2 linked regions of the Styela clava genome follow. The protein of the gene in region 1 binds, or shares a complex with, the protein of each later gene. Links are inferred from orthologs where the notes say so. Each region holds a gene or a part of one and is shown in the gene's direction. Other genes may lie near its edges.

Region 1 (8,062 bases):
ACTATTGAGCATACTTCAGAACAGAAAGATTGGTTACTTTCAGTCTGTTCTGGCTTATTGTCAACATGAAAACATGTCAAATGGCCCTTATTGCACTTTCTGCAAGAAGCCACGTTTTTGCATGACTTTGCACTATGACCCTTGGACATTTTCACTCCACAAGAGTAACATAAAAAATTATCCCAGAACAGTTTCCTTCTTTTTACCAAAGAAATTCGTAAGAATGTTTGACAATCACCAATTTTGTGAGACCCATTACAATGCAAGCAACTATCTCGTGAAACATTAGTGCTAAAGGAATTTTTATTCATTCGATGACCATATCTCGAATGATTAGACTTACTATTTTGCTCAGTATTATACTTGGACGGGTTGAGATTCTCATCAAAAACTGTCATCTCAGGACAATGCATCACTGAGGCACGCTTTAAAATAAATTTTGCAAACTCCTCAAATGGAGGGTATTTGGGGCAGTTTACCTTCAAGTTATCAGATGTGTTTACATTAAACTTACACTTCCATTCATAAACTGACTCTTTCCACCTGTTAAACAATGAAGAGGGCAAAACTCTTTTGATTAACACACATAGCTCTGAGGGAAAATCGAGAATTTTTAAATCCTCTACAACCTTTTTAACCTCAACAATTTGCTGAAGGAAATCAGAAAATGCCAACATGCCTTTTATATCATTTGGACCAATTTTAGGCCATGATGCCAGTTTTGTTCTAAAGGCTACACTAATGACACTGTCATCACCATAGCGATCTTTTAGGGCCTTTTTAGCTCTTTCATAAGAATTCTCGGATTGTAATAAAAACAAACCTTCAACCATACTTTTGGGTTCACCTGTCAAGTGACGTTCAAGCAGATTCATTTTATCTGCGTCATCAAGCAACCTTTGCTCGACTAGCTTTTTAAATGAGCTCTCCCATTGTGGATATTGCAATGGATCCCCATCAAACACCCTAACTTTGGCTACAGGAGCCCTTTGGACTGATAAAATATTACTCATTAAATTGGTCATGTCATGGGAAAGATTGCAGGTTTGTGGAGGAAGAGCAGCACTATTCACAGTGGGAACAGAGATATTATTATCATTACAATGAGTTGGTAAGCTGCCTGAATTGGCAGACACAGTGGTGGTTTGTGTACAACAGTTAAAAGGAGCACTAGCAACTCTGGATACATTAAAAACATTTTGTGATACATTAGAAACAGTAGGCACTGATGGGAATGAATTCACATTAGGGGGTGGCAAGGAAAAGCTACCAACATTTACAATACCAGTGGAAACGGCCTCTTGGGAAGCACTAACATTAGTAATGGGCAGTCGGGGATTGATTACAGGACTATAGCTCGATGCTTGGCAGGGAATATCAACAACAGTGGATGAAACTTGATCATGATTAGAAATATCTGAATTATTTAGCTCAATTTGAGGATCAATAACCATGCACGCTGGGGCCTCATTTAAAATAGGAGATGATTTTGAATTTGCATTAAAACAACTATTATTTGAATTGAAATAATTATTTGCACCTCTCATTAGATCCACATCAACACTGAAAGGATTTTCGGCCTCTTCAGCTTGAAGACAAACTAGCGCCCTGGCTTTTTTCTCCGCTATCTCTTTTTGAATCTGAAGATCAAATTGCTGTTTACGAATGCCTTTCGTAGCCTCCATTGCTGCCACATCTTTTTGCAAGTCGAAGAATTCTTTTTTGCTTGAAACTTTGCTTTCCCCAGACATTGTTGATTTCACGCTGCTTACAGTTCGAGCAGAACGATGCCGCTTTGAAGTTGGGCGAGATGATTGAGAACATTGGGATCGTTCATCTAGTTCTAATATTTTCGCACTAGCAGTTTCAGAAACTTGTATAATATTTTCAATACATTGTTGATAACGACGTGTGAAATTAATCAAATCAGTCTCCAATAAAATGTTCTTCATATCCTTGACAATTGAAGATAAACTTGACTTATACTGCACTAGTTTTGGAAACACCGCTTGAATTCCAGAACCATCTTTGCAGGTGACGAAAGACAATTTGCAGTCGGCTATGGCTTCTAAAATGTCATTCTCCATTTCAGTGAAGGCTGCTTTCAACGAGTCACTATTTCTTGTGCCTTGGTCTAGTTGGACGCTAGAGCTATTTTCACTGCTAGTAGGCCTAGAGCCGGACTTGTCAGCAGCAGAGAACATTTTAATTGGTTTGCTTTTTAAAGTTTCACATGGTGACAAGGAATCCAAATCATCTTTTATATCAGTAATTTGACTTTCTCTAGATTTTGTTGACATGGTGTTGGTCGTTACGGTATCTAATTGCAGCTGATTACAATAGGCCTACACGGCCTTCTCAGCAGCACAAATTACTGATTATATGACGTTTTGCTGCAACACTTGCAGACTTTGACAATGTGTTGGGTCTGTGGGTACACCCCACAATACTTTACTGCAACACTTGCAGATTTTGACAATGTCCTCCCGAGAGATATGTATTTTACTATAACGGCTCAGCACCATACGATGGCGATGTGCTCGTTAGGGTGATTGGAATAAATAGATCGTACAGGCACTTTATTTTTGATGACGCGGTTCTGTCTGAGTTCCTTTCAAAGTTCGAAACGATTGTCCAAAGATGTTTATTGTTGAGTCAAAATAGTAGTCAAATAATGATGAAATAGTTGTCAAACAGTAATCCGGTAAAATACAGTGCTATTACACAGGAGGGACCAATAATAACTATATGAAACAGGAAAATAGAATTATATGATGTAAATTTAAACTACGCCTAATTAATAATACCAAAAGTCCCCCGATTGATTAAGATACAAATTTATACGTCCTACCTCCAAGCGGCTCACGCCGAAAGAGATCCCGCCAACACCAAAATGGTCAGGGTTCAATGCCCTAAGTTACCGTTGCCAGTTTAGTTATAATAATAGCGGTCACCGTTTAGAATCATGACCGCTACAAAGATGATCTCTCAATACTGTATCTAGGGATGCGGTTTATTCCACCATATCCAAAAATACCCCTCTATTAGAAGAGCCAGCCCGTTCATCGTGCCCACGGAGGGACAGCTCGTGACAACCAATGAACTTCAAAACATCGACCGAGAACATGGCGGTTTTTCTCGACGTTTTGGTTGTGCCGACGAATAGAAACCGCGCGTCCTTCATCCAACTGTGCTGCAATATTAACATTTCCGAATGTTCGGTATTTTACTGCATTGTTCAGATGCTCCATAGAAGATTGATGATCCCTGACACGCTCAGAAAGATGTTTAAGATCTCTAAAACCAAATTTACACCAACGTGAGTCACGGGCGGTAGCAAAAAGTAGGCAATAAAAACAATAAAAGTGCATTTTTGTCCTCGCTGTAACACAACCATTCGTGTTTTTTATACCAAGTTTCTGCGCAGAATGTACGCCGACGCTTTCCTCCGTCATGGGATTGTTCCAGTGAACAATTTTTTGGTTGATAAGGCCCAAGACGTTGTACCTCTAATTTTTGTTCCAGCGGCAGCTGCGAAAACGGAGTGCGAAGTAGTGCATCAACCTTATTCATTATGAGGTCTAAGGCTAAGAAATGCGAAGCCGGAAAAAAGTGAGGAGCTCAAAAGGAATGTGGAAAATCGAAAGCAAATGGACTAAAGGTCTCTAACTGATTCAAATAGCGAAACAAGTGACAAAAACGAAGGCGAGGAAACTATTAACTCTCCAAGCAACCAACGAACCAGAAGGCGTCGCCCCGTCGACGTTCGGCGAAGGCTTTGCGAGCGAAAAATGAACCATGTCGGGAGAATATGGCTAGTGTAGACAGTCTGTGCAACCGATATTGAGGTATTTTTCGAATATTTTTTATTATACCGAACAAACAACCGAGGCATTGCCCCGGTTGCGCCTATCGACGCGCCGCCACTGACTTAGGCAAAATGCTTGGCATTTATTCATATTTATTTTGCACCCAGATATTGCATAGTACCGTATTAATTTGGGCTCTGCGAAATGATCCGATACGAGAGAGATTGCTGTCGCTAGAGAGTTTGTTACGCACTCGCAGGGGCCGTGACGCCTCACAAGTGATCGTCAATATACTTTTGGCAAGCTCTATCTCGCGATTGTGACGTCGCAGTGACGTAATTTTTGAATGACGTGCTCAGGTAGGGGTCGGGAATGATATATGCAAAAATTGTTACGCCACGCCCACTAGTAGTTATTGCGGCACGAAACTACACGAGACCCGTTTCACCAGCCCCACCATTGGCTTTACCAAATCGCCTTCCAGCCTTGGGGTCTAGCGCATTTATTAAACTCAGAAATACTGAAATATGCTAATGAAGAACAGAATATTCAAGGTAGATATCGTACTATAACATCAATGTACTCAACCATCAGACCATACGGCCATAGTAATATCAGAATACGGTATAGTACGCATACAACAATTGTTTCGAACTTTTGCACTTCTATTTTGAAAGTTCAATGAATTTGTAATAACGTAGACTAATATCTGAATATAGTACAGCAGTAGTAAGATACCGGTAATATGGGAAAATAATATTTCAAGTCTCTGAGTTTCATGAGGTTGAGGTTTATCCAGGTATCTTTATACAGTTATAAGTAAGTACATATACTATTAATACATGTAAATATACATGAGCCAGTTTACCCACATTCAACACACAAACATTTATTCAAAATAAAAAAGACAGACACGAACCGATATCGTTCGGGCGTCAAACTTCAGAACTTGTGTAACATAAACACTATTCCTGTATTCTGTTATTAGGATAAGATTAACATATTTATCCCGTTGAACAGGGAAGCCGATAAGATGACTTAATCATAATATGGCGAACCACCAGTCCAGTCCGTTTTGGGTATATGGGTACGGTATGGGATTAAAGGATTAGTTAGACAGTTATTTCAAGTGTTTGTTTTCAGATGCGTGGACTTGATGGCGGAGGGAGTCGTAACGATCAATGGTCAAGTGAGCCACCCCACGACAGCGAGGGGTCAATCTTTTTGCACATAATTACCCCACACAGGATTCAAATCTGCGAACCCAAGCTGGGTAATCAGAGGAATTGAGCAAAACTTCAATTTCTTATCTTTTGATTTTTTCAATAATATAGTCCAATTCATTACGTTGTTGTACTAAGTACAATAACATTATGTCATAGTGCTGTAGTGTCTTACCAACACAATGAATACCTCTACATCAGCCAACAATGGTGGAAAACTTGATGATTGCCACTCGTCTATCTATTCTCTGGCAGATTTAACAGGGTTGAGATGGAGAACATTCTCTGGGCCGAAATCTCTCCCAGTTAGTCCATCTGATGACCCCGTCCTCGTGGCATTCAGCAACTGCTTGTCACAAGATATACTAGCTGTTTGGAGAAAAGCTCCCAGCTTGAAGAAAAGCACTCCAAGTTTGACTCAGACCCACCCACATCAGTTCAATGAAGATGAAATGAACTCAGGATCTAATTTTGAATTAAAGAAAGAGTTATGGATATTTTGGTGGGGAAATGAAAATGAGCCATCAGTTGAAGCAGTAGGTAGATCTGTTGGGCTCACTTTTGAATCAGAAGATTCATGGGAAGATGTTGGATTATCTTATGAATGTAGAACACTATTATTCAAAGCAATTCACAATCTAATTGAAAGGTGTCTCCTATCAGAAAGATTTGTAAGAATTGGAAAATGGTTTTTACGACCATTTAAAAGAGACACAGATGTGGATAAATCTGATAGACTTTCTATATCTTTCACTTTCTTTTTGAGAGGTGAAAACACCGTCTGTGCCACTGTTGATATAGGATCACATCAGCCAGTGGAACGATTGAACAATCAATATTTGATCCAAGTTTCCAATAATCTCGTTTCCAAAACGGTGATTTTAAGCCCATTTGGACTTCGTGCTTCAGTTACCGGATTGGTTTATAAATCACTTCATGACCAAGCAGTGAAAACTGTAATTGATGAATGGAAAGGCTTTTATCCTATTGACATATCAATGTATGAGAGACAAACGTATGATGATCATGACAATGTTGAGCAGCCTGTGCCCCCAGTTGTTGAAGTATTTTTGTCTGGTGTTCGAACAAATTATCCTTCTGCTTATATACTTGTACCTGTCGACACCCATTCTGCTTTGAAGGATGGCGAAAGTAGACCTTGGAATGCAGATAGAAGAGCAATGGATTGTGTAAGCCACCAAGGTGATATCACTTCAATCGGATCATTTCAAGACAGCATGGGGTTATCAGTTAATGAAGTTGCAACATCTCCGATCTCAGAATCTGCAAGAGATGGTATGACATCACTGAACCCAGAGGGTACAAGCTCATTGGTTAGGAGCTTAATTTCCAGAGTCGTCAATGCCAGCGTTTCATCTGAGATGCGACTTGAAAATGAAGTAAATGGAATTCATCCACATCACCCTGAACCTCTAACTGTTCATGACAACAGCCCATCACAATGGCCCCAACTTTGTAGCCAATTCAAAAAAGCGAGACAAAGACTGAATTATTTTCCTCCAAATGATGATGAATTGAGCCAGATGACTGGAAAACTAAAATATATGAATGACAGCAATCAACAATCAGATGGAAGACGTAAATCAGACAAACAGAAACAACCAGCAACAGTTCCATTTCATCACACAAGTGCTGAACCAACCCCGCCTGGCATTGTTAATCAACAACTTGTTGCACCATACTTTCAGAATCCTGAATCTAATTCTATGATAATGATGTATCCTCCTCAGCCAGTTGGTTTTGTAAATTATCCGCAATGGAATCAGGAAGAACAAAAATCATTGGATCAACAAGGTATGTGTGGGCCTATGTTTTTTCAAAATAATGACATTCCCAATGTTCGTGAAAATTTTCAAAGTGATCCCATAGAACCTGGATTTCAATATACTATCACTGATGAAGCAATCAAAAATGCACCAGTAGGGGAAATTAAAGAGAATGTTTCAGTTTGGAAAAAAATTAAGTTGCCCAAACAAGTGCAAAAACTACAAGGGATGGCAAATATAGTTGGAAAACCAAAAAAACCATCTCTGATACCAGAACATTTGGAATCTGAAACTAGTGCATCCAGCAACTCGTTTAGATCTTTGAAACGTATGAAATATAATATAAAACATATTCAAAAGGAACTGGCATGGAGTATTGATTCGAAAAAAATGAAAGTGGATGAAGAAAGCACTGCCAATGATGACATTGAAAATTCATCAGCTCCTTCATACAATAATAACATGACCGCAGGCATGGATCATGTTAATCCACCTCACGTTAGACTAGGTTCAATCACAGGTGAGCTTGCTGGAATGACGGTATTATCAGATCCATATAAATTTGAAGATGAAGAAAAAGATACAGATAATGTTGCTCCATTTAATTCGCCATTCACTGCTGATATAAGTTTGAAGCAACCTACCGGGATGTGGTCTAACAATGAAAATACAGAAGGCAATAATATTGAAATGAATCCGAAGACGAGTCATCTTAGTAATCTGTTAAAGCAAGAACCAGGTAGTATGTTCACCAAAGGGTTACCGTCATTATTTAATGAAGGCCCCATTGTTGAAAAGCCACAAATAGGTACCTCATTGATGGATAAAAGTGACTTAAAAGTTTCAGCTTTTGATTTAGACAACATGTTCAATGATTCTGAAGATGATGACATGGGTACTGCAGCTGCAGATGATATTTCAGGAAGCAAAATGGTTTCAAATAAAGTCAATCCAAACAAATATGATCCCACTCGAATGCTTTCAAATACCTATGAGGCTGCACATAGTCAATCTTTCATTGCTACTATGAAAGGAGATGTTGCAAAGTATCAGACACCTTATATCAATAACGAATTAGATTTTGCCAATGCTGGATCGAGTGTCAACTATGGAGGTGATGCAGTTTCAGTAGAAACTCTTGGGTCTTTAGCTAATAAAATGGCGACGAACTTCATGCCTGTGCATGTTTCAGCTAAAACTAATGAAGTGTACAAGAAAAATCCTTTAAGCAGACAGCCAATGA
Region 2 (7,111 bases), on another chromosome or scaffold:
TCTCGTTTATATGAAACCTCCACCTTTATTTGAATTCTAGTGGATCGAAATGTAAGCTTCAATTCCAAATATCTGATATTATATATTAACCGTGATCTTTTCAATGTCTATTTGCTAAATTTCATTGGTGTGTGACGGCTATGGTACGTCTACTACTGACTGAATTTGATGTCCTAAATCAGCATACTACTTACAAAGTTTCAAATGTTTTTTGTCTCTGCCTTGTGCTGAAATTGCATGCGTTCCAGAATGTAATTTATTTGTTTTCTTCTAATCTGAAGTTTGTTATATTTCAATCAATTCTTTCTCCCAATGCTTCTTTTTGCGGTATAACGGCATTGTTTATTCATGGTAACAGTTTGTGTAAATGTTGATTGATATTCAAAAAAGTCTAAAATTATGAGTTTGTATTTTAGATAGTTACATAGCGTTTTAGGGCATCGGTATCTCATTGACTTTATTTTCATTGTTGAGCTGATGCGCAAATTTTTCAGCTTACGTAAGTGTAAGTTCATTTCGACTCCATAATAAGCATAGCAGGCATAAAATAGTTGTTGGATACAATTAAATAAAACAGATTACGAAATTAGGAGAGCAAACCTAAAGGTAAGGTTCAAATCAAATTTAGTTACAGAGCTGTTGTCGAAAGAAATTGTAGGTGGTCACTCAAAAGTATTAAATTATTCGACCTGCGCATACATACAACCACAGAGATTAAATAAAATCAGAAAAAAAAAACCGAAGACGGAGATACATCACTTGGAAAACAAACAACATTACTTAGCAAATAAAAAATTTGTACAAAGAAATAAAAATTTTCCACGAAATATCAATAATTTTGTTCAGATTGCCAAACTTAATACCGAATTAGCGAAATATTCATTGGAAGATATCGCCAAGCTGATTATAGTTGGGAGTCGCCTCATGCCAAATTGCCCAACCAGAACTGCGAGTTATGGAAAACATAAATCAGGAATTGATATTTATACTGTGATCTGGAAAGATTCCGCGAGTTCTGGACTTTATTCATGTTTCTATGGATCATTGTCAAGCGGTGCAATAAATTTACAGCCAGGGCTGGCCATTTCGTCCGCGATTAACTCACCGACGTTTCTTTCATTAAAATGGCAGGCTGGATGTTGGGGCGGTTTGTCCGTTCGGGGGTGAAAAAATCCGAACAATGGAACGAGTATTCGCTCGCCGATAGCGTGTTTATAGTTTTTATGATAACTTTTAATAATAATGTTATTATGAAGAAATATAAAGCAAATGTCTTGAAGTCTCGATGTAAAATATTAGGCTGTCTTTGTTACAAAATAAACTGTGTTGTGGGAACCTGCAAAACTTCTTTTTGCAATCTTGTCAATAAAAGGAAATTACGTGAACCAACCCGCATCATAAAATGAAGCTGATAATGCATTTGTTGAATATTCCTCAAATCGACATTTCCTTTTAGTAATACTCGGACTAAGAGCCGTTGTTAGCTGTTATAAAGAAAGTTTTCCGCAAGTTACCGCTCTTTTCCCCGTATGCGCCCTTTGTTACACATAAACAATCTCTCTCTATATATATGTGTTATAGACAGTCGTGGGATTCAAATTTTTTCTTAGCCGGTTCCTTCACAAAAGTCATATTTATCAGCCGGTTCTGTTGCAAACAGAACATTGACAGTAACCAGTAATGCTAACCGGTTCGCTGATCTCATGAAATCCCGTGAGACGGTTCTATAGAACCGGCTGAATCCCACCACTGGTTATAGGCCTTGTCCGTAATTATGTGCGAGAGGATTTCTGAACTCCTCGCCACCGTAGGGTGGTTAACGGTTACGGCTTCCCCCACCATCAAGTCCATACATTTGAAAAAAAGTAAATGGCTAACTAATTTCATACCCCACAGGGACCAACGAGAGGTCGTGTTTCGCCATATGATTAAGTCATCTTATCGGTTTTCCTCTCCCCCGGATAACTATGTAAATCCTATATTATCCTATCACCACGAACCATTTTAGGGTAACTTCGAGTCGTAACTCAAGTCTTTGATAATTGGGGCTTCCAAAACACTTATAATTTGTACAATCTTTAATAATCCATTTCTCTTTCTTTTTCCCCAACATCTTTGGATCTGTACATACTACGGACACAAGGATGCCTGAATGAGACAATAACAATAATAAAAACAAAAATATATTCGCACTCCACGAAAATGGACCCTCAAGGACATTTTTTGACCAATTAACATAATCCATTCACTATAGAGACCTGTCACACTGGATCCAATTGAATCGCCACTGGATCCAATTTTCGTTCTTCTGATTTTGGTAATCCCGTAGTATTTGCACCAAGATGTCGGACACCGGACCGTAGCATATGTGTACCAGGTTAGAGTCAGGCCACAATTTCAGGTACAAATACTGCGGAAATCACTCGGCTATTCCTCAAACTCGTAGTAGAACCAAAATAAGAAAAATTGTAATAAAATTTTGGCTTAACCCTAACCTGGTACACATACTACGTTCCGGTGTCCGCCATCTTGGTTTACACACTACGGGAGCGCGCCCTAATTTTTACCAGTATTTTTTTTCACCTCTAGCTGTTATGAATAAGTCGCTTATAAAATGCGAAACCAGACCGTTATCACACATTTTAAATAGATTGCAACCGTTTTAGTCATGAATATACGAAAATGATATGAAGGGTCATAACCCATAGACGTACGACTCGTACAAAAATATGAAATTATTTTCCTGATAATGCAGGCCGTCTGTACCAAAACAGAAGAATTTTAAGATTCTGATACTTTCGTGTTTCCACGAAAATAAGACCCAGCATGAATTTAAAAATGATTTCAATATAATCCATTCTCCTAAAATAACCCCTATTCGATTGCGCCATTTTTTGACCTAATCGATAGCAAGAAATCTTTCCTACTCGTTTTAAAGGATTAATAATATATGTTTAGCAGTTATTTTAAATAAAAACGTGTTATTTACCTACTCTGAAAATAAGACATAGTATGAATTAAAAAATGATTTTAATATAAGCCCTTTTCTTAAAATAACACCTAGTCGATAGAGCCAATTTTTTTGACCTAATCGATAGCGAGAAATATTTCCTACTCGTTTTAAAGGGTTATTAATATATGTTTAGCAGTTATTTCAATTAAAAACGTGCTATTTATAAGTAAATGGATATAGGTTTTCATATTTTGTATATTTGAAAATCTCGTAATTCTCCTAATAAAAATAAAAGACATCCCCCCAAAATAAGCCCTAGTGTTATTTTTCGGAAGAAAATTGAAATAAGACACTGTCTTATTTTCGGGGAAACGCGGTATATGGATGGTGGAGTAAATATTGTACGATTAAACAGGATCAAAATTGACATCGCGAGTTCAGTTTAAAACCCAAATGGCAGGCGGTGTAGTGGCGGGTAGTTCCGTGGAAGCTTAAGTTATTAAATTTTGGGGTAAAAAAGGACTAAACTAATTCATATTAATATAGTGTTTGAAGTCAAGTATATCTTGCTTTTACTCGACGTGTGCCATATGATCAATACGTTTTTAATCATTAGAAATTAATAAACTTTAAACAAGATAACGCAATAAACGGCGTCAAAAAACAACGTGTTGTCCGTTTAAATGCGATTTGAAATATCATGAAAAAATGGCCTTCAGCGCTCCCGCAAATATATTCTCCTTAGATTGGTGTGTGCGAATGATCAATGAAGCGTGACCTACACAGTATGGCGCAGGCGTGATACTGGCGTCGATGCCGACGTCTGTGCGTACAGCAATTGACGTCAATTTGCAAGCTATATCTGTAACGTCTCTCAAACACAACAAGATATATTCGACATGATTTGTCTGCGTTGAGGTGTAGGATGAAAACATCTAGTTGTTTTAACTACAGCTGAACAGCGACAACCCAATTCCAACTTTTGTCAATTCAAATTTATTATGACACTATATTTCACGTTAATTTTATTTTAAACTTTGAAGTGTGCCTGAATGTTCTTCCTTTTCTTCGCTTTAATTGCTAAAAATACTATTACATAGATGCTTATCTTTTGTTTGTTGAAAAACGACATACACTTTGGAAAATTTATACAATTAAAATTGTGCGGGTACTCCTCTTATTGTTTACGCATTTGCGTAGCGAAATTTCATCTGTTTTCACGCACGGCGTCAGTCTGCTAATCAGAAGTGCGGATTGCGGTAAGCAGGCTCGCTGTAGAAGTCGCTATTTGATGGCCGAATTGTAACGTCTTACCCGCAGAACATGTAGGCTTTTTATTGGGACTATATTATCAAGACGATATGCGGGATAATAGAAAATATGGACATACAAAAGTCGAAAAGCCCTAGTTAGTATCCCGCCAACAAGCAAGAATTTGAGACAACATTTTTAAAGCTTGAAAGAGTGGAATTTTGAATCTTCACAAGAAATGACTTCATTGAATAGTATATTGGAAAATAGGGCACTCATTCGGACGAGGATTGGACCACCAGATGTTTATCCGCAGGTTTGTTATGAAATATATTTTAATCATATATTCAGATTACATTTATAGATATGTTTTCTAATTCATCAATTTTAGTCAACAGGCAGGTAACCAATTTCTCTGAAATAGACAATAAAAAAATGGGAGTTAATTAGTTATAGGTGTATGTCTGTAATACTGGGTTGTTGAGTCTATAGGACAAAAGTTTGTTAACTATTTCAAAAAATTTGTTTATTAGAAATAACACATACCGGTAGGGCTACATTAATAATAATAATATCATAAGAATTATGTTGATTGGGATTTTGGGTTTATTATTGTGTGCTCCAGTCAAAAGCTTATAGATTCGGTTATTATAAAAAATATTGAGGCTTGATTAGTCAGATCATCTCGACTTATTGGTGGTGTGGCGCATCGTGCTAAATGTTAGAAATACGCTTGCCACCACACCTCTGTTTACACTGTAAGACCGTGTGGATTTGCGGGTTTGAATCTAATGTGGGATAATTATGTGCGAAAGGATTGCTAGACTACCTGGTGTCAGAGGGTGGTCCGCAAAACCGATGGTCGGTTGCAGCTTCATCATCCACCTTCAACATCAAGTCCATGCATATGAAACGAATAACTGGCTGACTGATCCCATACCCGACATGGACTGGAAACCCGATGAGAGGATGGGGTTCACCATGTGATCAGGCCGTCTTTTTGGCTTTCCCCTCCTTTGGGATAAATACATTTTTCTTATCCTATTGTAAAATTTGCCAATGCTGTTATTCTTTTTTCACGCGGGTTCGTTTCCGTCGTATCGCATCGAAATTGACTTGATCTAAGATAACTAGCGAGAATTTGGCGACATTTAATATTCTGATATCTGTATGCCATTTGAAAATGAATTTTCCAATTATTTACCATCAATCGTATATTTTTCGTTCTTGCGGTTTCTAGTCCGGTAGAGTCCAGTAAATGGGAATGGGTTGTGACTGCCTTGTGGATTCGAGTTTAATTTTTATTTTTTTTATATATTTAGGACCTTCATATTCTGCTTTACTCAATGTACTTATGTAGGCTACTGAACTCAATACTAAAGACTTTAGTTCGGTCAAGACTATTTTATCCCCTAGCACCTTGGGTTCCCAAGCACATATTCTAGTATGAGGTACAAGAGCAGAATATATAATATTTGGTATAAATATGGTCTGGCACAATGACAACTTATTATAAGCCTAAGTTTCGAGTTTAATAAAAAATGACTCTGGAGCAATTCCTTCTTCTAGTTTGTTTTATTCAAAATTATTATGCTCAATTTTTTCATATCGGAGTAGTCGTGTTCTACGATATACTCAACTTCATAGTCAAGCTATTCGATTTATGTGCAGGGGGTGCAGGATTGAGATGTGATTCATTATTTTACTATATACCGGTAGTTGTATTTTACCAGGTTATTGTTAAAACTTTTACTTGCTACTTATCTGTAGATTTGTTTTCAAAAATCAATACTTTCAAATAAATTATTTGTACTGCAAACTCAAAACATACAATATCTGTACTGGTGAGGGACGAGTAGTCGTCCATCCACGTTATGATTAAGATCTTTCTTCTCCCCATGAGGTCATTTTACCAAGATTGTTTATATGCATATACTATGTATTTATTTACAATCATTCTTCTTTTTGAGGATTTCTATGCAGCATACTATGTAGAATAAAAGGTGCATAAAACAAACATAATAGATAATATAGTGGGTAGCTCGGAATGAAAGTGGGTGTTCTGACGAGCAAGTTTATAACCTGACTTTAGTCCTGTTTCTGACTCCAAGTATCTAGCTACTTTAAATACTACACTAATTTTACTGAATAAATGATACAAACACTACTTTATGTATAAATTTACATTGTTCCGATATAGTGGTATTTATTTGTATATATAGTTGTCACTATCTGTATCAGCAATATTGATTGCAGGTGTTACTGATATTGTAGAATATCGCGGAATTGGCATTGAAAGCAAAATAGTTTATAAACAATTGAAATGAGTGAATAAAAATAAACTTGGATAGCTGGGAGAGCTAATCAAATTACCGTTTTTCTTATATTTTTTAATAACATCATAATAAATGAATACTGCAGTTTGAGGAGGGCAAGTTTACATTTTGTGTGGCACTGCAAAAATGAAAAAAAAATCTCGTAACTGATATGAAAATGTAAAGTAAATTATTGCTTCTTGTCATTTTATTAACTGCTGTTTTAGTTGAAGGTCATTGTAAATAAAAAGCTTTCAAATTTTAATATTAATTTGTTATAACTCAAATTCATAACTATTTAGTTTTATGATTTATAGCTCATTGGTATTGACGAATAAGATGTTTATTAAGATTCATTTAAATGTTACGTCTGAGTTGATGTATATTTATGAACATAGCAGGATCATTATTTACTGCTAATTTTCATTAGATACATGGTTGATTTATTATTGGCCTGTGAATCAAGTTGTTGTTCTTGTGGAAAAATTTCCATCGCAACTTCTGGACCAATCAATATTAAATTGGTAGTAATTGAAGATGGAAGAAAGCATATTGCATTTACTTTTTTAAAATTCCCATGGTTTTATGGTGT

Evidence for each region. Proteins that work in one complex are often made in the same cells at the same time.
Region 2: mediator of RNA polymerase II transcription subunit 13-like (region 1) and mediator of RNA polymerase II transcription subunit 12-like share a complex: the UniProt entries of both Drosophila melanogaster proteins name them as parts of the cdk8 module of the Mediator complex. The link is inferred for Styela clava from reciprocal best matches to the Drosophila melanogaster genes skd and kto.

The regions. Positions count from the first base shown.
Region 1 is NC_135255.1:4,004,843-4,012,904, reverse strand, and holds the start of mediator of RNA polymerase II transcription subunit 13-like, read left to right. Parts: upstream 1-4,997; 5' UTR 4,998-5,214; coding exon 5,215-8,062. Other genes in the region: uncharacterized protein LOC144424452, read right to left, coding at 1-2,300. UniProt on the Drosophila melanogaster protein: Component of the Mediator complex, a coactivator involved in the regulated transcription of nearly all RNA polymerase II-dependent genes.
Region 2 is NC_135258.1:12,868,521-12,875,631, forward strand, and holds the start of mediator of RNA polymerase II transcription subunit 12-like, read left to right. Parts: upstream 1-4,092; 5' UTR 4,093-4,442; coding exon 4,443-4,520; intron 4,521-7,111. UniProt on the Drosophila melanogaster protein: Component of the Mediator complex, a coactivator involved in regulated gene transcription of nearly all RNA polymerase II-dependent genes.